4 linked regions of the Drosophila melanogaster genome follow. Each later gene encodes a partner of the first gene's protein in a complex. Each region holds a gene or a part of one and is shown in the gene's direction. Other genes may lie near its edges.

Evidence for each region.
Region 2: Nup54 (region 1) and Nup93-1 share a complex: the UniProt entries of both Drosophila melanogaster proteins name them as parts of the nuclear pore complex.
Region 3: Nup54 (region 1) and Nup188 share a complex: the UniProt entries of both Drosophila melanogaster proteins name them as parts of the nuclear pore complex.
Region 4: Nup54 (region 1) and Nup358 share a complex: the UniProt entries of both Drosophila melanogaster proteins name them as parts of the nuclear pore complex.

The regions. Positions count from the first base shown.
Region 1 is NT_033778.4:12,427,006-12,434,004, reverse strand, and holds Nup54 (nucleoporin 54kD), read left to right. Parts: upstream 1-2,905; 5' UTR 2,906-3,068; coding exon 3,069-3,123; exon of another isoform or gene 3,124-3,145; coding exon of another isoform or gene 3,146-3,254; intron 3,255-3,315; coding exon of another isoform or gene 3,316-3,392; exon of another isoform or gene 3,393-3,410; intron 3,411-3,544; coding exon 3,545-4,051; intron 4,052-4,110; coding exon 4,111-4,477; intron 4,478-4,533; coding exon 4,534-5,095; intron 5,096-5,162; coding exon 5,163-5,504; 3' UTR 5,505-5,556; downstream 5,557-6,999. Other genes in the region: DUBAI (deubiquitinating apoptotic inhibitor), read left to right, coding at 189-1,026, 1,084-1,662; CG43204 (uncharacterized protein), read right to left, coding at 3,146-3,254, 3,316-3,392; CG13154 (uncharacterized protein), read left to right, coding at 6,226-6,261, 6,323-6,999. UniProt on the Drosophila melanogaster protein: Component of the nuclear pore complex (NPC), a complex required for the trafficking across the nuclear envelope. Essential for the nuclear import of nuclear localization signal (NLS)-containing proteins in an importin alpha/importin beta-dependent manner.
Region 2 is NC_004354.4:13,819,580-13,827,049, forward strand, and holds Nup93-1 (nucleoporin 93kD-1), read left to right. Parts: upstream 1-3,246; 5' UTR 3,247-3,347; coding exon 3,348-3,508; intron 3,509-3,571; coding exon 3,572-3,752; intron 3,753-3,831; coding exon 3,832-4,635; intron 4,636-4,708; coding exon 4,709-5,337; intron 5,338-5,421; coding exon 5,422-6,118; 3' UTR 6,119-6,331; downstream 6,332-7,470. Other genes in the region: Clic (chloride intracellular channel), read right to left, coding at 2,346-2,429; jub (ajuba LIM protein), read right to left, coding at 6,891-7,138, 7,208-7,373, 7,464-7,470. UniProt on the Drosophila melanogaster protein: Required for nuclear pore complex assembly, maintenance and function. Required for nuclear import of phosphorylated Mad via importin msk. Has no role in classical nuclear localization signal (cNLS)-dependent nuclear import via importin-beta.
Region 3 is NT_033778.4:12,679,019-12,688,811, reverse strand, and holds Nup188 (nucleoporin 188kDa), read left to right. Parts: upstream 1-2,632; 5' UTR 2,633-2,739; coding exon 2,740-2,765; intron 2,766-2,827; coding exon 2,828-4,065; intron 4,066-4,137; coding exon 4,138-4,247; intron 4,248-4,306; coding exon 4,307-5,271; intron 5,272-5,327; coding exon 5,328-7,398; intron 7,399-7,459; coding exon 7,460-7,614; intron 7,615-7,671; coding exon 7,672-7,885; intron 7,886-7,945; coding exon 7,946-8,767; 3' UTR 8,768-8,845; downstream 8,846-9,793. Other genes in the region: CG30053 (uncharacterized protein), read left to right, coding at 1-17; CG13148 (uncharacterized protein), read right to left, coding at 118-973, 1,032-1,215, 1,733-1,805; GLS (glutaminase), read left to right, coding at 9,410-9,604. UniProt on the Drosophila melanogaster protein: Component of the nuclear pore complex (NPC), a complex required for the trafficking across the nuclear envelope. Required for proper protein transport into the nucleus.
Region 4 is NT_033777.3:25,246,146-25,252,898, forward strand, and holds the start of Nup358 (nucleoporin 358kD), read left to right. Parts: upstream 1-3,202; 5' UTR 3,203-3,485; coding exon 3,486-3,557; intron 3,558-4,077; coding exon 4,078-6,753. Other genes in the region: RpS27 (ribosomal protein S27), read right to left, coding at 208-236, 303-522, 1,288-1,293; Nup37 (nucleoporin 37kD), read left to right, coding at 1,818-1,961, 2,028-2,436, 2,494-2,903. UniProt on the Drosophila melanogaster protein: E3 SUMO-protein ligase. Component of the nuclear pore complex (NPC), a complex required for trafficking across the nuclear envelope.

The DNA.
Region 1 (6,999 bases):
GCCTCATATTTATGATTAAAACTCGGTTCTATATTTGCATTGCCTTGCCAGCACCTTTTGTTTAAGAGCTCACTGTTTATAAATCTGTTTTAGGTGTCAATTTCCGATTACGAAAATAATTACGATTACGAAGCTTATTGGCTTTATTTATCTTCTTACAACTACATATACTCATTTTCCATTTGCAGTTTTAGCAGGCAAATCCTGCTTATCGAGTGCAATTCAGTGCTGCTCATGAAAGTGCAGCAGCAGATTGCCCTGATGCATCACTCGCTGCGCTACGAACTAACGCCTTCGCGAGTGCTGAACGCCACCCGGCCGCCTAGCTTCACGCCCGGCCTACAACAGGACAGCTCCGAGTTCCTAGGATATCTGCTCGACCTGCTGCACGAGCACGAGATCAACAGCTCCTCAGTCACTGGTCACAGTGTTGGTCCTCCGAAGACCGGCAGGGAAGTGGACGACGTGCCCGCACTGCTGAGCGAGGATATATTGTCGAGCGGCGTTATTCCGTACAACAGCAAGGATCACGAGCTCAGCAGTGGAAGCAACAGTGACAATTGTAATCACAAGCCCACACCGACACCACCCGCGACTCCCACCAAAGCCACCAACGGCTTAAAGCAGCAGGGCCAGCAGGTTGATCAGGCGAAGCCACCATCTACCATTGACAAGACGTTCGCTGGCAAGCTTTCCACCACCTATCGATGTTTAAACTGCGGCTGGGAGAGCCGGAACGAGGACAGCTTTCGCGAGCTGCAGCTGTCTTTTCCCGATGATAAGGAAGACTGTGGAGCCACCAACTACTCGGTGCAGGATCTGATCGAGTACTACTGCTCGCCCGAGAAGCTGGACGGTGACAATCAATATTTCTGTCCACAATGCAAGAAGCTTTGCGATGCGGAGCGCCACATCGGGGTCACCCAGGCACCGAAGAACCTTATTCTCACGCTCAAGCAGTTCAAGTACGATCAGAAGTACCACTTCCGCACCAAGCTCATGCATAAGGTGTTCCACGATGAGAGCGTAAGTATCGCAGCGAATTTCTCCGCTACAAGTTTAGCTAACCATTTCGCACGCTAGGTCACAGTAAAAATGTCGGCAAAGGACTCGCTGCAGGAGATGTCCACTGTGCACTATGATCTGTATGCGGGTGTTGTTCACGCCGGGTACAGCATGGATTCCGGTCACTACTTTACGTTCGCGGCGGATCAAGCCAAGAATTGGTACAAGTTCAACGATAACGTGGTTACCCACTCCAAGCCGGAGGAGATGCACAATCTCACTTCGCCCAACACGCCCTACATCCTGTTCTACAAGATGTGCGGCCACTCCAATGAGTCTAATTCGGTTACGGCCAGCTGCAGTTCGAGTATGGTATCGGGCTCAAATGACCAGGTGGTCTCGGTGCCACTGTCGCCGCCTCTGAAGCTGGAGGAGTTGCCACGCCGACTTCGCGACTACGTAAGAAAGGACAACCATGTTTACAACGAAGAGTTGAAGATGCAACGCTTTAAGCGTGGCAACAGCGGTCACGGCAATGCGTTTGTCAGCCGGCACAACTTTGATGGCGATGGTGACGAGGACGACAAGGCGCCGCCGCCGCCCGGAGGATGTGGAGGCAATGGACTGGGCATGAACATCAACCGCTTCGTCTTCTGAGAAAGCGACAGCCAGGATAGCGAGCACACCGGAGGCCACTAGAACATATACTTGTCTACTTTATGAAACACGCGCATACTAATCGAAATGTTACATACATATATATATAGCACGTTCACAACCAATCGAGATATATGCGCCTACGTATATCGAAGTGTATGAGAAACGCGCTTACCGATCGCTTGTTCGCTACCTCCTTGAGTTGTTGTCGATGTTTTCTAAATTGTTTCTTCCTTTTCTCCTTGATCCTTCGGCCCGTTGCCCCAAAAATCATTATACTCATCCACTCATACGAACGCAAACTATTATTGTATTTCCATTTACAAAATTGTTATAATTTTTTTGTTTTTGTTAACACAAACCTAGTTGTAGAACGTGCATATATGCGAACACAAACATATTTAATTATAAAAATTAAAAAAAAAAAAAAACAATAGAATTAGCCAGAAATAGGAGCGATATACTTGAATCCGAAGACCACTAACTTCCAAAACACTAAACCAGAAATAATGTCTGCACCCTAGTTTTTAACGCACAGCTCGAAATTAAATCATATCTCGAGTTGCAATCGAACTAGCAAGAAGCTACAAAACAAGATAATCGCGGCATTGACTTGTATAGATCGAGATCGTTTATAGATCGGGCTATAACCCTCGGATCGTATTATTAGTTTCACTGTTAATTTTAGCAAATTTCAAAAAATTTGCGCATGTGCGACACGAATTTGTAATTGATATATATAAATGTATCTCTTTGGATCTGGTGAGCAGAGGTTGCGATGAATTTTGAACGTTATTGCAATTAAATTGGAATAATTTCAAGGAAATTTGTATATGGTGTATGTCTATTGATAACCAAAATCTATACTATGCTATGCTATAAGTGTATCAATAAAGAAAAGAACAAGCCCAAAGAGTGTTTAATTATTAGAGTCACGAAAGAGTTTAATGTGAAAACAACAAAAATAGTATCCATTCATGGAAGTTACTATATCAAAAAGAAAAGCAATGATCAGAAAGGAGGATATTATATTCAGTTCAAACATTAGAGAGGAGGCGTAAACTAGAATTAAAAACTTGACAGGATTATTGAAGTGGCGAATTGATTTTCTTGCCGCCAAATTTCAAATTATAGCGTACTAATAATCAAAAGTCGGGCCTAAGACTATCGATAATTTAGACCGCGCGGCAGTGTTACCAAATTAATAAGGGAAATTCAAGTGTTGTTGTCAGCAAGGGTGAGAGCCCATTTACAATCTGGTAACACTGCTAGAAAGCGCCAAAATTTTACGTTTATTAGGATTAAGACTAATTTTATTACAATAAAATAGAATTGTACAAATTCCGGCCCCTAGGAAAGGCAACCCAAACTGTGCGGCAAAGTAACGTCCTTGAGAATACCGCATCATGTCGTTCTTCGGATCCAACACGTCGCTGGGAGCAACAAGCACGCCGGCCAAAAGTGAGTTTCCGTAAACAAGACCTCATGCCCTTTTCTCCAAATATTTGTGGGGTCCATTTCCACTTGGTGGAGGCTTCAGCAGCTTCTTGGCGTCCTGCAGGCTGTGGATGCGGATGTCTTTGGGATCTATGCTGGATGTGGGACGGGCTACATGGTGTCAGTGTTCTTATGTGGCCAGACAAAGATGCTCACCCCTTCTTGTGGACCACATAGGCGACGTATCCCACAAAACCTAGCAGGAGGATCAGCAATATAAAAACCAGAGCCATTTTCCACGACCAGCAGGCGACCAGAGCTTGAAGCAAACTAAGGGCAGCTTCTGTAGTATTTTGGAACCCGAAATCTCAGATAAGAATCCAAGGCAGAAGCATAGTTTTCAAAACACTGACCCATTTCTGGTCTTCTTATCTCTTTTGTTCAGCAACCGGTGGCCTCTTCGGATCGCCGTTTGGAGGCACAGCTGCAACCAGCCAGCCAGCACCCGCTTTCGGAGCACAGGCCACATCGACTCCGGCTTTTGGCGCCCAACCGGCGACTTCTGCCTTCGGAGCAGGTTCCGCCTTTGGAGCAACCGCTGCAGCCCCGGCTTTTGGAGCCGCCACAGGAACTTCTGCCTTTGGCGGCTCCGCCTTTGGCAGTACTCCGGCATTTGGTGCGGCGACAACCACAACTGCGGGCACGGGTTTGGGAGGAGGCGGTTTCGGCGGATTTGGAGCAGCTCCGGCAACAAGTCAGGCCGGTCTGTTCGGCGCTCCAGCGACTAGTGCAGCACCACCAGCTTTTAGCGGATTCGGCCAACAGGCAGCTGCGAGTACAGCGCCAGCAAGTGGATTTTCAGGCTTTGGCACAACCACAACGTCGGCACCTGCTTTTGGTGGCTTTGGCACCAGCCAGTCCACTGGCTTTGGGGGCGGAGCCTTCGGATCCAGTAAGTTAAATAAGCCCATTTGTCTTTCTGTGGTATTCCTAACCTGGTTTATGTTTCAGCGTTCGGAAAACCAGCGAATACAACAGTTACGCCGGGATTTGGTGGATTCGGAGGCACCAGTTTTATGCTTGGACAGCCGCAACAGCAGCCAGCGCCCATATCGGCTGACGAGGCGTTTGCCCAATCCATTCTGAATGTATCCATTTTCGGGGATGAACGGGACAAAATAGTGGCCAAATGGAACTACTTGCAGGCTACGTGGGGCACTGGGAAAATGTTTTACTCCCAGAGTGCGGCACCGGTAGACATTACGCCGGAGAACGTGATGTGCCGGTTCAAGGCCATAGGCTACAGTCGTATGCCGGGCAAGGATAACAAGTTGGGACTGGTGGCTCTTAACTTCTGCAGAGAACTCTCAGCTGTCAAGTAAGTCTTAGTGCTTGTCTACATCATGGCATAGGTATTAATTCATTTTATTTTAGGCCACACCAGCAACAAGTGATTCAAACGCTTCACAGTTTATTCGGCAGCAAGCCCAACATGCTTGTTCACATAGATTCCATCAAGGAGTTGGAGAACAAAAAGTGCCAAATTGTTATTTATGTCGAGGAGAAACTTCAACATGCTCCCAACGAAAGCAAGCGTATACTTGCCACCGAACTCTCAAACTACCTTAATCAGGCGACGCTGAAACCACAGCTCAATAATCTAGGTGTTGTGGAGGCTTTGGCTCTGGTATTACCCGACGAAGATCAATTGAGGGAGTACCTTGAAAATCCACCCCGCGGCGTGGATCCGCGCATGTGGCGTCAGGCCAATTCCGACAATCCAGATCCAACTTTATATATACCAGTGCCCATGGTGGGCTTTAACGACTTAAAGTGGCGCGTTAAGTGTCAGGAACAAGAAACGGACACGCATGCATTGTACATAAAGAAGGTGGAGAGTGAGCTGACAGAACTCAAGAAGCGCCATGCCACTGCCACAGCGAAGATACTTGAACATAAACGGAAACTGGCCGAGCTCAGTCATCGCATACTAAGGGTAGGGACACCTAGTTAAATACCCAACTTTATTTTTACATTCAGAAATCCGCATTTTTCAACCACAGATAATAGTGAAACAAGAGTGCACCCGCAAGGTGGGCACTTCCCTGACGCCCGAGGAGGAGGCCTTGCGCACCAAGCTACAGAACATGCTGGCTGTCGTCTCCGCACCCACCCAATTCAAGGGCCGACTCAGCGAGCTCCTCTCCCAGATGCGCATGCAGCGCAATCAATTCGCAGCCAACGGTGGTGCCGAGTATGCCCTCGACAAGGAAGCGGAGGACGAGATGAAGACCTTTCTGACGATGCAGCAGCGCGCCATGGAGGTGCTGAGCGATACCGTCAACAAGGACCTGAGGGCGCTGGATGTTATAATTAAAGGACTGCCCGAGCTGCGACAATCGTGATAGGAATGGAAATGAGCTGATACGTTGAATAAAACCCACATATGTGTAACACAACCCGGTGATTTTCGATGATCGAGACAACGAACAAGTTGTGGCCGTTACACTTTTGCCATTATGTCGTCGTTTAGCATTTCCTGTAGCTTTGAACTTGCACTTTTACGGGCAATGGAGTCGAAACAATCGAAACGAGTTCACACATTCGTCGCCAATGCTGCGGAAATAATTGTGTGGGTCAATGCACTTGCACCGCACAGCTCTTGGACCGCCCGACTTTTCCTCGGCCACTGTCTGAAATTGTCCAATTTCGACGGCTAGGCAGAAGGCAATCGCTCGGACTCATTATGAGTGGCAAACGGTTCGTCTCTGGCAGTTCCAGTTTGTTCAACTCCCAGCATCGGTATCACCATCGTTGTTACATTAACATTATTATGTGCTCTGGCGTGTGCATACATGTGCAGTCTAGTTAGTTGGCTCGTTACATATTTATTTCTTGTGTGGGAAACTAGTTTTCTCCCAGTCAACCAGCCAGCCAGGGTCCGTGCAGGTTTTTTGTTGGCCATTGATGGCGGAGACTTCCGAGCTTCCGTTTGGAGCATGTAGCGCCAGTATAAATGAATTGGCCAGCTCCAAGGAGGCCTCACATCGTTTCAGATCTAAGAAAGTGAAGGTGGTTCAATTGGAGCACTGCATATGAGGAGCTGAAAGTGAAACGTTCAGAGCTATGGGAATTAAATTGGACATGAATGGTTTATTGGTTGTGAGTTGTTTGGCTTGACCGCTCAATGCGAAAATCGGACTAAGTTTTCACATCCTTGCAGTTGTTTTTGTGCGCCTTTTGCTGCAGCGTGGTGGCCAAACCACCGACAGCTCGGCGGGCACAGCTGCACGACGATGTCCAGCTTATCCATCCCCACATCATCACCATAGAGCGTTTAGAGAATTTGCTGCGGCGTGCTGGGGAAATCTTTGGTCCGGCTCTAGAGGAAGATGCCATGGCGGAGGCCAGTAGTCAGGTGCAGGAGCAAGTGCAGCCGCAGCAGCGAATGCTGCCGCCAACGGAGCAGCCGTATAACTTCTATTTACCTCTATACGACTTCGTGGAGCCCAAGCTGGATGCCAAGAGCCGAATGCTGGAGAAGATTGCTCCTCCGCCGCAAAAGACGGAGCACAACTACTACGCGGAAAAGCCAAAAAAGAAGCCAAAGAAGTTTAACGCTGCCAACAAGCACATCAACCTCAATCTCAAGTGGCTTAACACCTACGAGAGGGCCATGGGCGGAGCAACTGCGCCCAAAGCCATGTATCTGGAGCAGGACGAGCGCAACCGAATAAACTTCGACGACTCCTTCTTTGCGGTGGACATGCAGGTAAAGATTCCGGATAATCAGCCCCACAAGGAGCCAGCTGCGCCCACAGAGCTCTTGCAGCATGGCGAAGAGCAGGCCGAGGAAGATTTGATGGCGGCTCCTGCGCAGTTAGCCTTTAACTTCAAGTC
Region 2 (7,470 bases), on another chromosome or scaffold:
ACCAAAACCAAAAACCAAAAACCGAACTTGGAGCCGCAGCCAAAGCCAAAGCCAAGCCAAGTCAAGGAGGCGGAAAAGCGCGCACGAGAAAAACCTGTTTAGCGTTCAATGATTGTTTTGTTTTGCAGCAAACGAAGAAACAAGAAAACACATTTGTATTTGTTTGTTGCCTGCACGCGCGGAACAGAGAGGCATGCCACGATCCCCAGCTTACATACATATATAGCTGGATCCACTGCCACACTCGCTCTTCTTGAACCCCACAAACTGAACAATACCAACAACACAGCTTTCCTCGGCGGCGGCAAATTGAACTTTCACTTTTTCGCTGGGAAATTGCTATGGAAATGGAAACGTTGGGCCTTACATGGAGTGCGTTGTTATGTCAAAGATGCTTCTGTCACTCTTCTGCTGCAGTTTAACTATTGCTTTTAACTGGCCAAAAATTCAGGCAAAAATTAGAGAAAAAAAAAAAAGAAATGAAAGGAAACAGGTGCTCCCAAGCACTTTCTCCCACGAAAACAGGAAAAGGGAGCGGGCCATGGATCATTGGGTTTAAGGGGGAAATGGGGGATGGGTTTCGAAAGTGTTAGGACCAAAAACTTACGATCATACGATATGAATAGAATATAGCTACTAATTTCAGCCATTACATATCGTATTGCTGTTTAATTTGGAAACAAAACTGGTTACGAAACCCTATTCGAAGTACACGATTGCTCATGTCAGTTGTTTAGCGTCGAGTGGGGTTTTTTTTTTCTTTTTCTTTCGGGAATCGAATGGTATAACACATGGTATATTGTACTGTTTGGGTTTAGGCAATGCAAAGGTGAGGGAAATTACTCATGGGCAGACGACTCGAGGTGCGGTCTCCATTTGCGTGGGCTGGATGAGTGGCCAAGTTGAGTCGAGTCGAGTTTGCCAATAGAATCAACAACAGCAGGGCTCCAAAGTGTTCCGAAAACAATTACAATTACTTCGGCAAACAGTGGGAACCAACAAAAGAAACAAAATTAAGTGGACTCATGCTCGACTTACAATTCCGGGGAAAGAAATAGATTGCGGCCTCTACTATAATACAAAAAAAAAAACCAAAGGGTTCGTAATCTTTCTTTGACTCATTTTGCAATAATATCACCTTTAAGAAAGATGCCAATGAACAATTGTTTTATCACATGTTTTTTTTTCCACTATCGAAGAACAGAACTGATAAGAAAAGCGTTGTATTCGAGGAGAAAAAATCGAACAAGTTTTTATTATCGATTATTTGTAATACATAAAGAAATAAAACACTACATATTGAGCAATCTAAAGTTAAGTTCTATGATTTAAATTCATTTAATTAATCACACTTTAGGAATCTTGGCTTCTCAATGCTATTATCTTGACCGCAAATGTGCGGAGTGCTAGCTTTTTGTTTTCTTCGATTCTTTGGAGGAGCATGACGTATGTGTCAAGAAATTTAGAAATCACTAAAAGATAAAAAAGAACCTCTAATTCACACACACACACACAGAGAGAAACATGCTGATGGTTGCGAAGGGGGGCGATGCGGGGGGCTTAGGAGAACTATGATGAAGGAGCATTTGTTGAGCAATTGGCGCAATGAAATGTGATTAAATTTTTTAGCAGATAAGAACCGAAGTAATATGTTACGTTCCACAAATTTCAGACTGTGCGCACACAGCAATATCATGATTAATTGTTAATTATAAAATATTAAAAAGATATTTCATATGAACAGCTTGGTATGCTCGGATAATTTGGAAAAAGGGCGGCTTTAGAGTATTGCACCAAAAAGGTATGCTGTAATATTTAATTTGGATGCTTTATAATGGTAATCATGGAGTTCTGAAAATCATAACTCAATCAACAATTTCGTTCTGTGCAGATGTGCCCGAATGCATGTGTATGCGATAGTGTGCGTGCGTGTGTGTGTATGTGTGTGTGTATGTGTGTGTGAATGTGCGATAGGGAGAAAAGGAGAAAACCGGTTTTGGCGATGCTTAGGAACCGCAAGGCGAAAGGGGAACGTCGGCGAGAGGGGAGGGGGCGGTGTGTGCTAAACGTATTCTGTTCGTTTTAACCAAATGTGACACACTGCAAAGTGCCACAGTGAGAAGAAGAAGAAGAAGACAACGAAGAACGAACAGGGGTAAGAAGCCGAAAAGAGGGAGGAGGAGGAGAAACAAACGGCAGTTCGCGTTTTCCCAGTCGCTTCTTGTTTTTGCCTTTGTTTGCATTTGCTTCTGCTTTTGCCCCGGCTGCATTTTCACTCTGCACGGAAATTTGCGCAGAGCGAAATGGAAAACTGCAGGGGTATGCAAATGTCGCTGTTCGCTCACCTTTATGATCAATTCTATCTCGGGCACATCGAATTTACTGCTGCCGTTCGTCTCCTGGCTCTGCTGCGATTCAACTTCCGACATTGCGATATTGTTATTATTTTTATCGTTTATTCTCGATATCTCTGATCAGATCGAAGAGTTTTTTTCTTTATCCGCGTGACGAGGTGCGTGCGTGTTCGTTTCCTTTTCGCTTTTGTTGTGCTAATTTCCTTTGCCAATACACACACTCACGTACACAAGCTGTAACACACACAGGCAGCACACTCACACACACACAGAGAGACGGAGGGAAGAAGAAGCTCGCCTCGCAGTGTTTAAAAAAAATATGCCGTTCTGTTCTACGATTTGCGCGCTGCTAAAGTCTATTCACGATTGAATTGGTTAGCCGCTGAATAAACCAATCTGCACTGCGCGAAATACACTAACGCCTGCTGTTCAGTGTTACCAGACGGTCCTGCCTTTCGGCCGGCCTATAAATACCAAGCTAATACCAAATGTTTTTAAAGTTGTACTTACAACTCCCTCTCAATAACAGTTGTTATTGGGACATTTCAATAACAGATTGCGTAATACCAAAAATACCTTATACCTACAAAACTCCCATTTGTTCTCAATTTATTCCCCAATATATCGATATTCCATAAAAATTTTGAAATTTCGCGTTCGGGGAAATCGACTATTTTCTTTGTTTTTATAACAACTTTTAGGTATTGAGAAATAATTTCTTAGTCTGCTATCTATATAAATTTTTCAATTTAATGATTTTAATTATCAAATATTCCTTTTAAATTATATACCATCTGTAGACATTATTATAGTTATTCTAACATATAACAGTTGTACTATTAAATATACCAAAAAGAATACCACCGATTGCAAACATTTTATGGCGCCGAAATAATCCGGACTGCGACCAGGTGGCAGCACTAGCAGCTTGGTGTGCGCTTCGTTGGAAATATCATTTTATTGGCACCGGCTTTTCCATCCCAATATCACGACATGGATCTGATGGAACTGCTGAAGCAGGCCCAGCGCCTGACGAACGAGACCAATACGGACACGGAGGTGCCGGGCGTGGAACGGACCATGTCCCAGGTTCTGCAGGCAACCAAGGAGTTTCACTCGCGTGTCACCCAAATGGGCACCAATGATCTGCAGGCGTGAGTAGTTCGCTATAGGCCAGGCGCCAAAAATTGTCATATTAACCGGTCATTCAAATGCAGCCACATACTGCTCGGCTCTAAGGGCGTGGACCTGCCCAAGCTTACACAGAAGCTGGAGTCGCTCAGCGCCCGCCAAACCTTCGAGCCGATTGATCCGGTGACGGAGACCAATGTGCAGGCCTATCTGAAGAACGAGCGGGAGAACGCCATACTCTCAGTTATCGATGAGACGAATCGCAGTGTGAGTGCGCCAAATGACATGCTTCAGGCAGACACCCAAAATTCTGAACTTTCTATCTCCATTAACCAATCCATTGCAGATATTTAAATCTGTGGAGCGACAGAAGTGGCGTTGCATCTACTCGGAGTGGGGCGAGGAGAAGGAAGCGCTGCTAAACGCTCTGGTCGGACCAAACCAACAGGACTTCCCCGACGTCCAGTTTCAGATAGTGCCCACGGCCATGGCTGATGAGCCCACTCCGTACTCCCAACTGAATGGCCATGAGCAGATGTACGCTGAACAGATCGCCATCCACAACCAGTCGATCATCCTGGGCAGACGCCCTAACTTGCTGTCGACCCTTGCCCACGTGGTCCAAGACTCCTTCAACGATGAGTCCGTAGCCGAGATGTGGAATGTATTGCAGTTTATGACCGCGTTGCCGCCAGTCTCGAGCACCATCGATCCAATCAAGAATCGTCAGACATCACCGCAATTCGTTGAGCAGGCCCGCACGTACTTGGAGCGCAGATATAGGACGTATATGAGAAAGTTTATCGTCGCGAATTTGGCCAAAGCGCGGCGGGGAGGAATCCCCAGCGTGTACCATATGGTCCGCTCCTATGTGGGCGTTACTCTCCAGGGGCAGCGAGCCCTCTACGGGCTGCATGACGTGAACAATGGCCAGCCATTGTGGCCACATGTTTACTATAGCTTGCGGAGTGGCGATATGGACGCGGCTGCGTTGTATCTCAAGGAATCGGGAACCTGCCCCGACCTGCTTACGCTATTGACGTTGCGAAAGAACGGCGATAGGGACAACTTGATGGTAAAGCTTGAGGGTCAGCTAAAGTTGGAGTACAACAGTAGACTGCGCGCCTGTACGGATCCCTACAAAAAGGCGGTGAGTGCTCATCTTTTGCTACAACTTGTTGCGTATATTCGTGCTAATCATATGTTTTTCTCTTTTCCATTAGGTATACGTCGTATTGTTGGCGTGTGATCCGCACTTCACTCACGTAGAACTAATGCGCAGCATCGACGACTTCCTGTGGATGCAACTGTCCATTCTGCGCAGGTCGGACCAAAGCGACAGCAACACGGAGCAGCTAACGTTCAGCGGCCTGCAATCGCTCATTTTAGAAAAGTACGGCGAGAACTACTTCAATGCGCGCGAGAAGGCGGCGCTATACTTCCAGGTGCTGACGCTTACCGGCCAATTTGAGGCCGCCATTGAATTCCTCGCCCGCACCGAGAAAAATCGAACGCACGCTATCCACATGGCCATTGCCCTAAACGAGATATCCATGCTGGGAACACCACGTTCCGTGGAACAATCCCTTCTGAGCTCCGACCCTGACGACCCAAAACCAATGAAACGACTCAATCTTGTGCGTCTGATCGTCATGTACACCAAGTGCTTTGAGAGAACGGACACCACGCAGGCGCTGCATTACTATTACCTGTTGCGCAACTTTAAATCCGAGAACGGACGCGGCAACGTGATGCTCACCTGCGTCTGCGATCTGCTAGTTGAGAAATGCGACGACGAAATGCTAGAGCTGATTTTCGGGACGGAGGATAAGAAAAACGGCTTGCGCTATGGGTATGTTACGTTTTTGGTACTCTTAAAAGATTTCAAAATCCTTTTGGCAAATAGCTAATGGTTTATTCATTCCCCTTTATTTAGCGGCATATATGCGGAATTTCAAATTCATGAATGCGATAAGTACTCTCTGGCCGAAATGGTGGGCGATGAGTTGTCGAAACGCGGCGACTACGAATTGGCCATCGAGCTCTACTTTATTGGTGGCCAGCTGGACAAGGCACTGCGTTTGGTGAACTCGCTACTGGCACAGGTGGTCCACCAACCAACGCAGAATGGAAGCGTGCGTAACCGGCTGGGCGATATTATCAATCGACTAGATGCGGCGCTGGTCGTGCGTAAATCGGACGTAGAGGTTCAAGTTGTTGTCACATATACGGTGCTGACAAAGGTCATGAAGTTCTTTGACCACTATCACGAAGGCGCATTGCGTTCGGCATTAGAAATCCTGACCAACAATCATCTGATACCCGCCAGCTCATTGGAAGTGGACGAGTGTGTGACGAACATAAAGCGGATGGGTCCCGAGGTCATTAAAGTGCTGCCCGATATCCTGCTGGCGTCCATGGACATTGTATACCAGGAGTATGTGAAGCTAATGGACTCGAATGAAACAGCTTCCGGTTTCTTTGATGAAAGCAAGTGCGTCAATAAGGAGCCCGCCGTGAAACATTTGCGAGACAGGGCCAAGGCATTCACCAACATGGCTGCCAGCGTTCCATACCGAATGCCATCGACCACCAACCAGCGGCTCGTCCAGCTGGAGATCCTTATGCACTAACATTAGCCAGATTAATACCTAGTTATCGTTTATATGCATTTCATTCAGTTCGTTTAAAATTTTATTGATGATTATATTTTTTTCTTTCCAATAATTTTATTGGAATTTTTCTGTTAAGCGCAACGCATTTAAAGCATTAAGCATTCGAAAAATTTAAAAGAAAATATTTTGTATGTATGTGTTATAAGAAAACTAAACAAAATTCAAAATGTCACACGTATATGTTAATTACTCACGGTTTAGGCAAACAATTAAAATTTTGCATTTTCGCTACTTAATAACCGAATGTATGGTATGTATCACAACAAGCCACTAACCCACTGGAATATCCACAAAAGACTTTCAGATAAGAAGTATTAAGTATTTTATTGCATAATTTGAGACACCGTTTGCTATTGCATTGAAACCTCAAGAGGTCTCAGGAACACCCCAGGACATACATATGAAGAACACATCAATATACTTGTATCAAAATAGTATTGCCAACAATGGCTGCCAACTGTCGGAGATTTTAGGAATCCATTACATAGTTTCTAACAGATCCGTTTCGAGATCCTAGTACACTGCCATAAAAATGAAGAAAAAAAAAAGCCATTAGCTTGGCCCTCGTTTCGTATAAATGCATTTGTTTTCACTTCTGTCTATTTAAGATAATATTGTTAATTGGAATAAGTTGATTGCGATAGTTTGTTCTGGTTTTGTGCGCCACTCAGTCGAAGGTCGGAAGGTCGGTCTGCGCCGCGCCGCCTCTCCCAGCCACACTCCGTTCCGCTTATCCCATATACTGGTACGAAGCGCAGACGGGCTCCTGATGACGAGCGTGTGGCGAGGATTGCAGCGCCAGACGTTGCAGGTGGCAACCGCGGCAGAGCAGGCGCCCGTCCAGCGGGTAACAGCGTTTGTCCGGCTCATCGGTCAGCTGCATGCCGCACTCCTCGCAGATGTAGCAGTCCACGTGGAAGTCCTTGTCCATCGAGACGACGCGCACAGTTTCGTCGGTGCCCTCGACGGGTGTGATGCCTGCCGAGAATTGCCGACGATTGCGAGATTAGCATTGACGTATTATTCGGAATGAAGTTGTGAACCCACCTTTGCCGCAGCTAGCGCACTTGGGCGCAAACATTCGATGGTAGTCGTTGACGCAGTAGATCTTGTGGTCCACGTCCACGGTGAAGGGCACCCCGTCTAAGCACTCATTGCACACACAGCACCGGAAGCAGCCCGGATGATACGACTTGCCCATGGCCTGCAAGATCTGCAAGAGGGAAAGAGCGAGAGCGACGTCAATGTGAGTACAAGTTGCCCAATTAGAGTGGGATAGAAACGAATGGGGTGCAGTACGAACCATTTCC
Region 3 (9,793 bases), 250 kb from region 1:
TAGACTGGCAGCCGTAGAGTGTTTTAGTTAGCCGAAATTGTATTTACACACCCAACTAGATACAGACGAATCGAAGCCTAAAGTTATCGAAATTTACTGGGAGGGAACAGATTCATCTTAGGCCCGGCGGCACTTGGCCTCCACCAACTTTTGCAGCGTGCCCGTCAGGCTGTTGATGGCATCGATCTTCATGCGCTCAATCCGCTCCTGCTGCACCAGTGACATTTTTTGGATCTGCACCTGTTCGCGCTGCAAACTCCGTTGTAGCTCTATCTTCTCCCGCTCCACTTCCAGTTTTCTTTCAAAGTAGTCCTTCCACCAGATGTCATCGGGGATGCCAGAAGCTTGGTGCGAGCCCATGGGTCGTGCCAGATCGTAGAGCTTGCCATTAACTTCCAGATGTTGGCTGCTATCGTTTGTACGTTCAGCCTCCGCAACTTGATCGCCATCGTACTCCATCTTGGGTTGACGGACTACCTCCGACATGCTGTTGCTATCCTCATCGAACTCATCGTTGGACTTGCTGTCCAGATTCATCTGGGCCTGCAGCAGGACCTGATCCACAGGTGTAATATACGGCTGGCTGTCCTTGGCCGCAGTCTGGGGTGGAAGTTGCACCTGCATTTGGGGTGTTCCCGGCTTTAGGCTCACCGGAGTAGGTTGAAGCTGTAAAGGTTGCTGGGGAATACCCGGATTCGGGTTTTGCCCATTAGCCGAATGTGGAGCTTGTGGCGCATTTGAAGTCTGTTGTGGCAACTGCATATCAAAGTCAGCCTTCTTGCCCTGCAGATACTTGAACATCTCCTCGAAGAACTCCCAGTGCACATAGCCGGATACGTATTTTTTGTTCAGATTCTTGTTGTAGGTGATGAGGATGTTATGCCACTTCTTCTGCACCTTTGCGGCGGAGTAGCGAAATCCCAGTCGCTGTAGTTGCCGGGTGCAGTGCAGCCAAAGAGCAGTCCGTTTTTGTCTGTAAGGGAGTTACTTTTACAAAGATGTCTTTACGGTGGAATAAAAACCTTGCTCACCTGCCCTCTGTAAAGCTACCCTCCATGGGACCGCGTATGTGAATCAATGCCCTGGTGGCCTCTGTGGTCCAAGCACGCTCGTAAGGACCACGTCCCACATTATTGCCTGCCCCTGAGGTATCTGCCTCCTCGAGCAAGCAATCATCATCCAGGTCATCCAAATCATCGTCACTTATTTGATAGGCTATGGAAATAAAAGAAATAAGTTACCTTTAATTATTGTCCTTGTTTTGAATAATATAAAAGCTTACAGATTATAATAATTATATTTGATACCCCTTTATACACTACGAAATTAACTAACGAAATCGAGGTAGTTCTAGCCTTATCTGATTTAGCTTAAGTTCAAAAACTTGTTGCTTTTGGGCAGCAGTGGCATCTCTGGCGCTCTCGCAGCATCCTTTCAGACATTTCTCTCTCTTTGTTATCCTGCTCTCATGCTCGCTCTCCCGTTTAAGTTATCACCCAACGCCAGGCCAAAAAGCATCCTAGCTATGTCAAAGATGCTAGCTGCTGCTGACATACACCTTTATGATACATACATATATACCTACATATATCCTGATACATGACACACACTATGTGCGTAGGTATGCACATATGTCCTTCCACTAGGACTGTGCAGACCAACACTTGTGCACTTTCCGGGCAATCACTCAATTTTCTATTATGATTTCACAATTGCCAATCGGCAGACTTACGTTCATTATCCTCGACATTATTTCCGTTGCTAGGGGCTTGCCCATTTCCTGCGTTGAGCTGAACTTGAGCCATTGCGGCTATCAGACTTTTGAAGTCCAATCTGCCTTTTCTGCCAGAATATGAGCAATTTTAGACCTTTCGCCTGTCAATAGTTTTCTCGTACTAACAGGACAATTTTCGGGCTGCAGCTTCCAGGCGCCGTGAACGTGAACTTCGAGTGCGCCTACTCTCTCGCGCCTTCTCCGCTCCTCTCTCGCTCGCTCTTAGATCTGGAAAAGATGGGAGGCTGCGGCTAGCCGAGGAGTAGTGGTATTAGTTTCCAAGAAATGGGCCTCTAGAATGGCGTGGTTGGGTGGCTGGGCGGTGCAGTGGGCGCCGGAGTGCAGCATCTGCGCACTTTGCACTCTGACTTCGCAGGTCTGTTAGCCGCAGCCACAGCCTCACTGGAATGGCTTTATGTGATTGGAAAGTCTAACCTAAATAGTTCTAGTCCGGCTGGATTGGAAGGCTATTTATGAAATATTTGGGAAATATCAAGATCTGAATGCTAAATGCATGTGTCAAGTTATGATTGAAGGGCCACATGCGAACGTCTATATTTGAAACCTATAAAATAGGTTTCTAAACCTATTCGCGTGAAATATATACCAATTTAACTGTAATGCTACAATAATAGATAAATAATGGGGCGCACACGTGCTTTCCATGTATATTTTATTTGTATAAATCTATAAGCGATCATCAGATCTAAGATGTCATACCTTGATTTAAGTAAGATTTAGTAAGCTAAAGAAAATGTATAAAGTACTGTATCACAATTTTCTAACTGGCTTTTTAAAACAAGAACTATCGTTTTATCGATACACCTTCGGTGTTACCAGCTGATTGTCCCGGCATTTTATTGTGCTAGGTGGCAACTCCAACGCCGCGAATTTGCGCGTGGAACAGAATACATTTGTTATTAAATAATTTTTTATTGTAGTTGTTAAGAGACAGAGCCTAGACAATGCCTGCGGTGGAAAAGAGCGTGATGTGAGTATCGGCAGTGCGACAATATTGAATGACTAAATAAAATCCTTCGATTTGCCATGTAGCACCGATTGGAAGCGCCTGTGGCCGATGGTCTCAGGAATCCACTATGAGACGCCGCAGGATACTGTACGTGAGGAGCTGATGAACGTGGCTTCTGAATTGCAGGCTGGAGTGCTCCAATTTAAGCCCAAGAATGCCTCCAGCCTCGAGCTGGGCACGTTGCTCAAAGAGAAAAAGCAGGAAAAGCTGCTGCCCTTCACCGAACGACTGCAGGATCTGTTGGATCTAGAATCCGCCCAGTGCTGGGAAATCCTTTGCTACTACCTTACGCAGGAGTACCGTGGATCGGCGAGTCTCCTTACCCAACTAATCTCTACCGAAACGAATATGGCCAAACTGCACGAAGACATACGGCATTACTACTCCCTGGAACGCATGGTTGTCCTCAAGATTGTTAAGAATCTTATCGTCTTTCACCAGGTACCGAATCATCCCTATCACCGGGAGTATCGCGCCGTGGTCGAAAAGATAACCATCCCCCGCCTTAGAGATTCATACCTAGACCAACTGGAGAGCCTTATTTGCGAAGTCCCACCCAGAAAGCTAATGGCGGGAGAATGCTTCCACTCTGCGGAACGCTTAGTTGCCTGGTCGGAGCGAAATGCTCGTGAGATCAACGAGGTGCTGCACATCCTTCTGGTGCTAGCGGAACACCTGCCCATGGGGTTGGAGCAGATAAAGAGAATATTTGCCGCCTGCAAGCAACACTCCTTTGGAAAGATGCAAAGTTATCTGGATGACAGCCAACCTTACCATCAGGAGATTATTCGAAGCCTTTCTTACTCAGAGCTAATGTTAGTTTTAAAGTGCCTCGACTTTGAGAAGCCCGAGAAGCATTCCGATCTAATTGAAAAGCTTATAGAGGATCTGCAGGTTGATATTGCCAGCATGTACCACAGACCAGAGCATGGCCCTTTGCTCCTAGCGTGGATGCTGCTTCGCTTGCGAGGCACCAACGATGCCGACGATGCCTCCAGCTTGCTCCGCTGTCGGCAGCTGGGCAAGCGAGCCGTGGATCTTAAGTGTTTTGTCCAACTGCACCTAATTGCCAGACATTCTATGTACGCCGATGACTCTATGCTGTCACGGATTGTGCGAAGAACCATATACAACCAGGTTGGATATCTGTGCGACCTCTTCGACGGCGATGGCAGCTGCGCTCGGTATGAGGGCATTTACGAATTGCTCTGCGAACTTGTCTCATGGCCACACTTAGCTAAAGACTTTTGCAGTCGGGAAGGTCAGTATCATATAATCAAAAGAGCTTAACCGAAAAAATTAGTTTAGAACGAACAACTTTACATTTATCTAGATGATGGTCCGTGTTCGCTGTACAAAACTCTTTTAGAGAACTTCCCTCTAGAATTAACACATCTGTCCAAACTGGCACTGTCACTGACAAAAGCGGGACAAGGCAACTATGTAAGCCAATACTTGTACACTCAAAGGCATCAGTTAAAATTATTTTAACAATCTTGCAGGTCAAGAGCCAACTAGAGGCTTTGCCCATATTGGCTCTTCGTTACGACGAAAGTCAGCACAAACTCAGAGAAGTGGACACAAATGAATTCGAGCTCCTGGCCAGCGTGCAACCATTTCAGCAAATTGATTTTACCATACCCGCAGGAACTAGTTGCACAGCCATCCAACATCCGTCCGGCTGCTTTATGCACTTTCGTTTCCCGGTAAACTACTTTGACGCGCTGCACCACGAAATTAACTGCCTGCTACGCGAGACGGGTCACCTGCATGGTGACTTTGAATCGAGCGAACGCATACGCAATGTAGAAGCTGGTTTAAGATTTTTGGAAAGTGCCGTTAAGCTCAGTCAATCGATATCCGGCATCAGCGCCGAAATGGTGCATCCTACCGAGATGTGCGTTGATCTGCTGCACACGTTCAAAAGCGTTCAATACCCACCGGTTGGACTTTTGTCTAGCTGTCTCAATGTTTGCACTGCGCTGCTGCCGTTGGTAGACGAGGAAATCTTTTCGCGGATAAGCAACCTACACATCTTGCCAACAGTAAGCCCGGGATCTCACTACGACTTCAAGATGTATGCCAATGCCAATGGAGTGGGCTTTGAGTCGCGCTTTTTAGGCTCCGTCATTGATAATGTGGAGAAGAAAAGGGAGCGCTACGAATTCTTGCTTTCATACATTGGGTTCCTGCGAGCGTACTCCAACCTGAAACGGAATCGCCAAATCCAGATGGAGATTCCCGGCCTTATATTCCTGTTAAAGGATGTTTTCCCGCACTTGCACACCTGGCACTTTAGCTCTCAAGTGGAGAGAAACAAGATCTACTTCGAGATTCTTAGCTTTATATGCGACATCCTGGACTTGTTTAACACTGCTAAAGAATCTAATTGCAAGCAACGCGAACTTTTGGTAAAGGTGTGCGTCTATTCCCTTCTAAATTTGGAAAATGGTCTGATTCTTTTGAGGTAAGAGCTACCGTAACTCCAACCAAGAATAAATTTAAATAAAATGTATATTTTAGATTTGTTGGTGTGGGCAATGCTTATGTCCAGTACACCATGGAGCTAGAGACAAATTGGATGCAGCAGCAACCTCACGGCTTAATGATGTTAGTCCGTCTATCCATGCGTATCCTGATGCAGTTACTGCGCCTTAAAGAAGAGGTATATGGAAACAGTGAGACCCTTTCCCCGCTGGAGGCGTTGATATACACACAACCCAAACAGCGTGATACTCTGCGGATCATACCTACAGTATGCAGTTACATGAGCAACATATTTGATAGATGGCTACCGATTCTGTCTTGCCGCCTGCTGAAAAGAATCGCTCTCCAGTTCAATATGTCTCTCTTGGCCTGTCTGGACATGGAGGCTGATCAAATCCGATTGACGTTTATGCAGAAGTTGCCTGATGAGCTAGAAAGTGATTCCATAAAGATAGCCATCCTTGAGCTGGTGGACGCATGCATTGCCAAGCAACCGGGTGTTACCGAGGCATTTTTCAAGGTTAACTATGCCCTTGATAAACGTTCCCGGTCATTTTTCAGTAAGGATTGTGTTCCCAATATTGGCGAGAGTATTGTCACTTATATGAGAGACTTTCTGGACGCCCTTCAAGTGGATCCATTAACCATTCAACAGGCCTTGCCCGCTAAGATCATGACCATCTTCCACTCAATGTGGAAACATAATCTGCAAATGCTAGTGGATGATCTAGTGAAGGATAAACAGTTTTGGAAAAAACTCTGTTCGCCGCTCTTTTCCGAGCTACAGCCAAATTTACGAATCTACACTCAGCTTCTAAATATTATATCCATTGAAGTCTATACGGGAAATGGAAACAATGCCGCTTTGCTTGACGTCATGAATAAGTTCTTTGAACAGAAGAACTTTGGACCTTGGCTTAATTACGTCTTTAACATGCCCAAGGTTCCGGCTGTAAAAAATTTGAGTTCTTCCGACCATTTGCCCGACTGGATCTGTTGCCTGCAGGCTTTTAAGGATCTTATTGTAATTTTGCTAAAGAAACAGCCAAAGTTCGTGACCATACCCGAGTCGCAGTTTAAGCTAATGGCGCAGAAGTGTCTGGTTGTCCTGGTTGATCGCTCAAATTATTTGGAGGACATGCGGCCGTTCATCATACTGGCTGAACTGTATGTATTCATCTTACTGGAATTTAAGCACGCGTACACAGACAGTTTAGAGGAGGAACAGACACTAATGGACCTACTGTTGCAACTGATGAACCGCATCTGTGCGTGCTATGAGGATCAGCACGTAAGGGCCAAAGAGGCATGCCTGGCCATTGTGACCAAGTGCACACATCTATACACAGACCTGCTAATCAGGGACTCGTCCATAGCCTTGCGTTTTCTCAACTCAGTCGTAGGCATCATTTGCAGCGAACTGCAGCACATGGAGAACTCGGTGAGCCTGGAGAAATCGCAGGGCCTCAATAATTCGGACAGTTCAGACAGCAAGACATCCACCAACTCACTTATTCTCTGCCTGAATTTGCTAAAGGCTGTCGCTACCATATTCCACAACGACGGTCCCGGAAACTGGGATCTGCCATTTGTGTCGGTGCGTTTGTTTCAACGGCTCGTGCGCTGTGTGTCTAGAACCCTTCCATTGTTTAGCAAACAAGTTCTAAGTGTGCAGCTGCTGGATGTGCTCATTGTATTTGCCAAGGGCCACTGTTCAGTTGAGTTTCTGCATTGCGATGTGGGAGAATACTTGTGGCTGAAACTGTTGCCTCCCAGAGAACTTTTGCAGTCAAAACACGAGTTTACTAAGACGACGGCTGCGGATGCAGAAGGTTGGACCGTAGAGCAGTGGTGGCCTGTATACGCCAGAGGTATTGAGCTTGTTACCATCATTTACGAGAAGCACAAGAAGTGCTTTCTTGAAGATGCTTTTCAATTTGTGGGCATTCATGCTGTTTTCCTGGAGGATGCATTGTTATTGAGCAAACAATCCTTGGAACCGTCAGCCATGTACTTAATCAAGGCTGCTGTTAACTTAGTCGCCAGTTTGACGGAGCACCACAAAGAGTGGAAGCAAGACAGCGATCTGTCGCTTGCTAACCTAATGGTGGGTTCTGTTTTAGTTGTTCAACTAAATAATATTTTAATCGCTTAACTGAAATCCACAGCGTGCAGTTCAGAGTTTGCTGTGCCACACCTCATCTTTGTTTCACCAGCAAAAAAACTTAAAGTGTCTTCTGGCTGGTCGACGCTCCCAGCTAGAAATTCTGCGCAGCACAGAGGCTCTAATCGTTGACGATGAACTTATCTCCGCCTGCAATGAGTAAGTTAACTTGAATAATGTTGTTATACTAGACTAAATATTTCCATTTTATAACAGCCTCACGGATATAATAATTTCTTGCGTTAAAGCCTTGCTTAGATTTAGTCCGGATTTAATGGAACTACTGTGCTGCAGTGCATATGAGCCCTCCAAACACTCAATCTTACTAGACGTTAAGTTTGGTGCACCTAAGTTGAACGAAGAGAACTTAACGCTCACATTTGGAATCGTCCTCAACTTGGTAAACATATACGTAAAGGCCTTGAATATGGTATGTATATGTGGCATTATAAGTGTGTCCATTCTGTTCTAATTATTTTCAAAACATCAGCAAAATCATGGCTTCAGTGAGGTGCCATTAAACTCACTGCCCAACGTTGAGCATTCCGGGGACAACGATGATCCAGAAGTTTGTGTAGGCAACCAAACCAACCGCACCTTCTCCAAGCCTCTGTCCAATGTCTCGATTTCAACCGGAACCTGTCCAGCCAGTGAGCTGCTCTCCAACATGGACGGCCAGCTTTGTTTGCTTGCATTGGAGCATCTGCTCATGCTGGTCGCTTCGCAAGCCATCTGTATAATTCGCTCACCGAACCTCGAAACGCTCTGGAAGCAAATCGTGCGTCGGGACATCAGCAACGAGTTGTTAATCTTCAACGAGTTCGTGCGCCGCAAGGTGATATTAGACTACAAAGAGAACCGTAGTCCCTGGCTACGACGAAAACACGGGCTCTGTAAGCTGAAGTGCGTGGACCCAGTGAGGAGTTCAAGCAGTTCTTCCCGCAGCTCAGAAATTGTGCGCCGCAGCAACACAAATAACGAACTGCGAGTTAATGTCGTACGCAGACTGCATCTGCAGCAACAGCAGCGAACTCCTCCACCGCAAAACTTTGACATGAGCAGCGATCTGAGTCCCATTGCGGCAGCTCAAGGTGCAGCCATGACGACGAGCTTGGATGGCCGAAAGCGTTTGTATCCCGCTCAACAGGCGGGCGACGCGTTCTTGGAGGACGAACTGGCCGCCATCGAACTGCAATACTTTCCCCCGCCCACTGAGCCTGGGTATTGTGAATTGTCGCAGGTTCAAGTGGTGGAGGAGGACTACCTTCAGTTGATGTCGGCCCTCTTTAATGTAATGCCCCATTGCGACTGAGCTGCTAGCCCTTCGGTTGTAAAGTAATTCATGGATTTCTAAATAAAGTATGTAGACATTAAATAAAACAGTGCGACTATTTTTTGTTAACACATATAGATCCATTTTTAATAAAAAAAAAAAAGCTAATTGAACAAATATCTTTTCATGTAATAAAGTCAATTCCATGATTCCCAGTGTAGAAAAATAATTTGCACAGTTGTGCTAATGACGTCACTGGGTTAGACGAGCCCCCAGCAACGTCATCACCGTCTCTTTTCTGAGAGAACTACCACCATTGGAAGTGGTAGTGTCTCCCCCGCCATGAAACTCAGTCCCACAGAAACAGGGAGAGAGAGAGAGCGGCTATTTATGCTTACTCACAACCAAAGAAGTAATCACCGCTGCTTTTGCCGCCGCCAACGTTTTTTGCGGCAGCGTTGAGCTGATTATGAGCTTTCTGCTTTTGGCATTTTAGTACCCAGCGATTGGTAAAAGAGGACGCATGTGCAGACAACGGAGCGGATACGCAGCGTGAACGTGAACGAAGACATCAAGTACGAGCATTAAGGTTTACCCCTGTTAGGCATCCGATAATCCGTGAATCAGAGAGACCATCGTCGTCATTAGGGCAACCAATTAGCCAAGTCAGTGATTGTGATAATGCTTAAAGGTGTTCCCACGCTAGCCGGTCGAAACCTTCGTCTCCTGACGACCCAGGCACAGGTGCTGGTCCATCAACGCGCCAAAGCGTCCGCCGCCGAGCCCGTCGAGGACTTTGACCAGGAGACGGATCTTTTGAAGCGCGCCAAGTTCGGACACACGGGCAAACAGCTGCAGCAGAAAATAATCAATGAGGTAAGTTTCTGCGGAGCATTTCAAACGCGGGGAGGTTGGCCGAAAAACAGCTGACTATGTAGGTTTTTTTGGTCCTAAATTTCGCTCGACTATTGATTTTCCATGTGCTATCCCCAAAAGCGAACACATAATGCGCACAGATGCGCAAATACTGGCGGAGAGCACAAATAGTTTTGCCGAAATCCAAAA
Region 4 (6,753 bases), on another chromosome or scaffold:
TTTCTATAAACAAATACGACAAGAACTGTTTTTTTTTTCACTTAGCCGACCACAACATCGTTAATTCTTTAATTCACAAAGCACAATGAACCAAAGGACCGCAGCAATTGAATTACAAGCTTTCTCTCGTATGGGTTCTGTGGTTTCTTTACGTTTTAGAGTTTTTATTAAAAAATTAATAATTTGTGGTTCATCGCGAGTCCCATTTTACTGTGGCTTCCTGCGGAAGGAGCAGCCTGAAAGAAAGACATCGTTTGGGTTAATTGCGAAGGAACATTGGACAGTGAGCATTTGGAGCATACCTTCTGTCAGCTTGGCGCGTCCTCCAGTCGGCTGGCACAAAATGGTAGCGCATCCAGCGCAGACCACGACGCCTTGGGCGTGGCTGAAGACGGTGGTGATCCTGTAGCAGCCGGGGCACTTCACGTCCATGAAGTACGAGTTGGGGTGCTGGACCAGGCGCTTCAGCTTGTGCTTGCGCTTCTCCTCGGCGGGCAGAGGGTGCAGAAGATCTTTTGCTAGCTGCAAGGTGAAAATAGTTTCAAAATTAGTATAAATTCATTTAATGTATATATTATACTATATGATTACGGCCAAATGTGTTGGATTACTTCAAGCCTAGATAATCCTCTAAATCTTAGTTATAAGTCGAAATTTCTTTGGCGCCAAACGTGTTGGTCCAACTTTGATCCAATAGGAAAACCAATTCTTTATTAATTAACGAAGAAGTAACTTTCTACCAATTTAAATACTTGAAAATATATTTTAAAGTATAACTACTTTGATCTTTAAGTTCTCAATTAACAATTCATTTGGGAAATAGATAACAATAGAATTGAATACAATGTTATCAGGCCACTTGACGATTCTAAGCCAGACAATTGGCACATTTTCTCTCGGTGTATCAACAAATGCAGAGCAGACTCCAGGCAACAACAACATAAATTCGCAAATGCGTGTTCTAGGTTATGTGCAAGGATATCCGTCGATTTCACATGACAGTGCAATCAATTCCTCCTGTAAGTCCCAAGATTCCATTTAAATCTCATTTGGCCATTTCACAACTGTTTGCAATTTCACTGGCGCACGCCATGCGTGGCTTGTATCGCACACATTCAATGGAAGCGGGCCAGACATTTGTTTTACAGTCTTTCAGGGCCGTTATTATCGGCCGACACTTGCTCCGTTTACACTGGACACTTTGGCGGTAATAAGCGGCCGTTTTTGGTTATCATTCGGTTGAGTTTTCTGTGTTTAAATTCAATTTTAACGCAATTCGGAACCCACCGGCATGTTTTTTCTTTCACAGCTAACACGGAAAAGGAAGTGGGGTAAATCGCAGCCAACTTAACTTGCCCGAGAATGCACTAAATAATGCTGAACAGCTGGGCGATGGCAACTCTGCTGCTCACGCTTTCCAATACTGGAGTGTGTGTTGCTTGAGTTCAAAATTTATTCTGACTTTATTCGTGTATTAGCAATAAATTTTATAAAAAGCAAACGCTACACAGTCGATATTAGGCATTACTACTATTACTATCATTAAAAAGTTCGCCGACGTATGACTACTTAAATATTGTTATGTTTCTTTTTAAGACTAGCCATTTTTATTAAAACTTGAGGCACAATAATGTAAGCATTAAACATAATAACGAATATATTTTCGAATAACATTTCTTTGCGTATTCTGTTTTTTAAAAGTGTAAAATCTTGGAAAATTCTTCCACTGATTTTTGGTCATACTAAAATAAACATTTTTTTGGCGCCGGCTAATTGTTGCATATATCCCGCGAATAACAAACAATATTTATAGAAAGATGCGATCTGTCATCGAGCCCGACCACAGCATCCAGCTTAATGAAGCCATCTACTGCTACGATATATGCACCAATGACTTTGCCTACAACCTAATCGCAGTGGCCTTCAGGAAACACTTGAGTCTGCTGCTCGTTGGACTGCCGGTGGGTTTCCATGCATAAGACCAGTGAAGGTTGAATGATTTTGAATGGTTAACCCTTAATCCGCAGGAGGAGAGCGGCGAGTTCGGGTACACACGCCTGCAGGACATGGACCTGGGCGAAAAGGAGCAGCGGAGCGTGAGCGCACTGGCCTTCTCGCCGGACACCTCGCTCAACTGCACGCCCAACAATGTGACTTTGTGCGCGGCCAACGGCAGCCAGCTTAAACTATACCGCACCGATCTGGGCCAGTTCACCTCGCTCCAGGTGCTCCGTGGGCATGGGGACTACGTCAACGATGTATCCTGGGTTTGCGACGGCGAACTGCTGGCCTCCGTTAGCGATGACTTCACCTGCAGATTCTGGACGACGACAGGCGGCGGGGAGAATGTCATAACCTTTGGCCTGTCCTCCGCTGGAATGTCCGTCAAGAGTCACCCCGAGGATCCCAACAAGGTTCTTGTGGCGGAAAAGAAGGGTGTGCTTGCTATTACCAGTGTTTAGCCCGCGGTGTAACTAAGGAAACTCCTTGCAGGCATCATTCATCTATACAATGTGACGCTCAAGCAGACAGTCATCTCCGTGGAGTCGCCCAAATTCCCCCTGATGTCGGCGGACTGGGCCCACAGCAACCGGCTCTTCATCACCTCGCTGGCCGGCGGAGATGTGGTTACCTGGGACCTGAACCGACCCTATGTGCCCGCGGATGTCAAGCAGGTCCACGAGGATTGCGGCCGGGTGGTGCGCTTCGCGCCAGGCAGCTCCGAGATGGTTATCGCCATGGTCATCGGGCTGACTCTCAAAGTGTTCGCGGCCAAGTCGACCGTTCCTCTGCTGGAGGCCTCCCTGAAATCCTATGGGGGAATGGCCTGGCACCAGCGATTGCCGTACATTAGTGCGGTTTCCGATAGGAAACTGCTCTTCTGGAAAGTGCAAATGAAGTAATTTATATAAAATTGTATGAATAATAAATAAAAGAATATAAAAAATATGATATAAAAAAGATTTATCAGAAGAATATCAATGATCTACACTCTATTTCTATATTTATATTTCATAATTTCGTTAAACTATCATAAGTTTTATATTATTCTTGAACCTTCTTTAATTTATTTATTAAATCCCTTATACTTATTTGTTTGTTCGAAAAAAAATCGTAGCAATCGATAGTTGCTATAGTCATTAAAACATCGGTGACGCGATATATTCGCGCCCATCGATGAAAACGCGTAGTCATCGTTTTTTGTTCCAGCACTAAGTTTGCACAAATTTTTTGGTTTCCGTGCTGTTCAGCTTAAGTTTTAATTGGAATTTAGTGATATTTACGTTCCAATCTACACCGCAAACGAGTGCAGTTTGTTGCGACTGGAATTGCCCATCCGAATCTACGTGATTTTCCGGCCGGGGCAATTAACCGTTCGAGGAATCTGCTTCAATCGGATGACGAGTGAAGAAGAATCTAACGCGAAGCACATTTTTGCAAGGTCTCGTCCACTGCAAATTGGACGTGTTTAAAAAAGTACAGATATGTTTACAACGCGAAAAGAAGTGGACGCACACGTCCACAAAATGTTGGGAAAACTTCAGCCGGGAAGAGAGGTAAATAAACGGCCAAAGTGTGCATCGGAATTTCCAAAAAGAAAATCATTGCGAAATCTTCAGGCGCCGCCATTGAAAGCACACCGTTGTGTGCGTGCGGCGTCTGCTTGTGTTTGTGTGTGTGAGTCGGCGTCACTTGGCCGTCGTTTTTGAGATTGAATAAGAAATTGCGCGCTTTTCTTTCAACGGCTGCATTTCATATACTTGACAAATAGAACGCTTTTTTCGCAGCTGCATGGCTTTCGCCTTCTCTGTATAAATCAAATTAGATATTTGAGGTTATGTGTACCATATCAATCTGCTAGAGTGAGCGCTGAATTTGTAAGACCGCCAAAAATAATTCGAATTTCCATTGTGGATTTGAATGATTTTTTGCGGTCTAACGTAGCTCTATCTAAATAATAAGCACACAATAAGTCAAATCTTACAAAGTTATTCTTATCCAGCTCACAGTGATTGTCTAAAAATTTAACAGACTTTTTTGAACCTAACGTACTAATCAATAAAATGTATATTGTAGCGCGATATCAAAGGCTTGGCTGTAGCTCGATTGTACATGAAAGTTCAGGAATACCCAAAAGCCATCGAGTATTTGAACGGCTATCTCCGGGTGAGGGACGACGCTGTAGGCCATAACATGATTGCCACTTGCTACAGTAGGCTGAACCCGCCCGATGTGACAGAGGCCCTGCAGCACTACCAACGTTCTATTCAAATTGATCCGCGTCAGTCAGAGGTTGTCATTGACGCCTGCGAACTTCTGGTGAAGGAGAACAACGCATCGATCACGGAGTGCGCCAGGTACTGGTTGGATCAGGCTAATAGCCTTGATTTAAGCGGCAACAAGCAAGTCTTCAACCTGCGAATGCGTGTAAATCTTGCGGACAGTAACGGCGAAAGAGATGACACCAGTGGCGGAGACGGCGAGCAAAATACCCTCGAGATTCTTATGTACAAGGAGCTGCAGGCGCGTCCCCAGGATGTTAATATACGCATACAACTGCTGCGCAGCTATGTTGAAAAAATGAAAATAGACCAGGCCTTCAACTATGCTCTAAAAACGGAACTGGAGTCGAAAAACTGCACGAGCCAGTCGAACGAATGGTACGAGCAGATCTGGATGGTCCTTTTCAAGATAGAAATGGCCAAGGATGTAAAGAAGAACTGGCGATTTTGGCACTTCGCCTTGCACACTCTCGATCGTCTCGTGCAGCTAAGCCTGGAGGGCAGTGGACTGGCAGACAGCAGCAAGCAGTTGTTCAGACTTGATCAATATCTATTCAAGTTTAGCACTTCGATAGAGAGGTCAGGGGACGCTCCGCAGCGGGATCTCCACCAGGCTTGTATTGACCACTTTACCGGCCAGCTTCTGCTTCACGCGGTGACACTGATTTTCAAACGTGAGGTTCTGGCAAACAAAAACAAATGGATGAGCACGCTTCGCTCCGCTTTGCCACTTCTGCTCCTTGGTTACCAGGTGCGACCGATCGATGATTCGAGTACCAACCAATGGATAAAACACTGCGACGCGGAACAGAAGCAGTTGATACAGATGTGGCGCCCTCAGGGCGCCTTTCGATGTGCCCAGCTTGGACGAACCCTTTTGGGCTGCTTGGACCGGTCACAAATGGAAATTAAAAACGATAGAGAAAATGCCGAGTTTGATGAGAATAAGAATTCGGGAAATTCTATGCCGGGATTATTTGCCGACTCCGAAGAGCTGTTGGCCAGCGCTCACCAGCAATGCTTGGACAAGAGCTGGCGAAGTCAAATTTACCAACAGCTCTTTACCCACGCCGAACACAAGCTAAAGGATACGTCTTCGCATCTGGTGCGGAACCTGCGTCTGCAGCTGCCTCTTTTTGAGTGGCCGAATCTGGCGCATATCGAGAACTACGAACTGCAAGCGTTGGTGCTGCCGCCACACTCCTTAGCCCAACATGTCTACCTGGCTCTGGGCACCGACCCGAACAAACTTGGAGATGCGCCACGCGTGGTCTTTTATGAGGGTTTCCAACGGGATGTTAAGCAGAATCTAAACTACTGTGGGCAAGATTCAATCAGCCAGGTAGATGTGGACCTCTACCTTTATGCCACAACCATTCAGACCAGACGTAAATTGCAAATCCAGCGTGAGGTGTATGACTCCTCCAATTTGGGAAACCGCAATGCTGCCGCCCGGCCACATATGATGCCATTTGCCAATCTAGTGGGTCAACTAGGCGCACCGGAGCAAAGTAACTGGTGGGATCTGGTGGTGCGACTTAACTCGAACCAGCTTATCACTGAAGGCAATCGCGCCGAGCAACGAGCTCAACTACAACATGGATTGGAAGCGGTGCGCGGCGTTAATGGCCCAAAAGCAGATGCCATCATCATTTTTCAATTGGGAAAGATTTTAAATTCCCGATCGGATCGTTCTTCTCTAGAAGCGCGTATCGATACCCTGTACAGGCAAGGATTTTCAATTTTACGCCACCAACACAACCAGCAGATGGAATCCTATGTCCGCGTCTTTAAGTACGGATCCGCCGGCTCAACGGCAGCATGGCAAGATCTTCAGTCGTTGGCTGAGGAAGCCGTCACCTATTTTAGCGAGAAAATGTTTAGGATTGGACAGTATGAGCAGTTTTTGGACGAGGTCCGGGGACTTCATCTGCCCATGGCCTACTTTTTGCAATCGGAGGCGTGTCATCATCTTGAGGAATCTTCCAAGCTGCCTCGAACTTCCCGAGATCGTTACTCAGAGCGAAGACGTGAATGCCTGCAGAAAACGCAAAAGTTAATCAAAAATGATGATAAGCACCCACTCATAGCGGCCATGCATAGACATCAACAGGACCGCAATAGTCGGGGTATCGATAATAGCTTCGGCAGTCCGGATGTTCATAACAATTCATCCGCCTACGAGGACGCAGAAGATGATTTCTATTCCCATGCAGCCTTCTCTGCCAATCGATCACGTCGTCAGTTAGAAGTCACCCCAGTCACTCCCATTGTTATGGCACAACCGAGTCAGGAAATGGAGCAGGCTGTCAAGCAGATCAGCAAGTCACTGTGTGTGCTCAAGGACGATGTGAGTGTGGGAATGGAAGCCATGCGGCAGGATATCAAAGTTCTTACTGAGAAGTTCACTGGCCTGGAGGATCTGCTTAAGAAGATCAAGATCAGCAGTCGAGACACGCCTACACGAGAT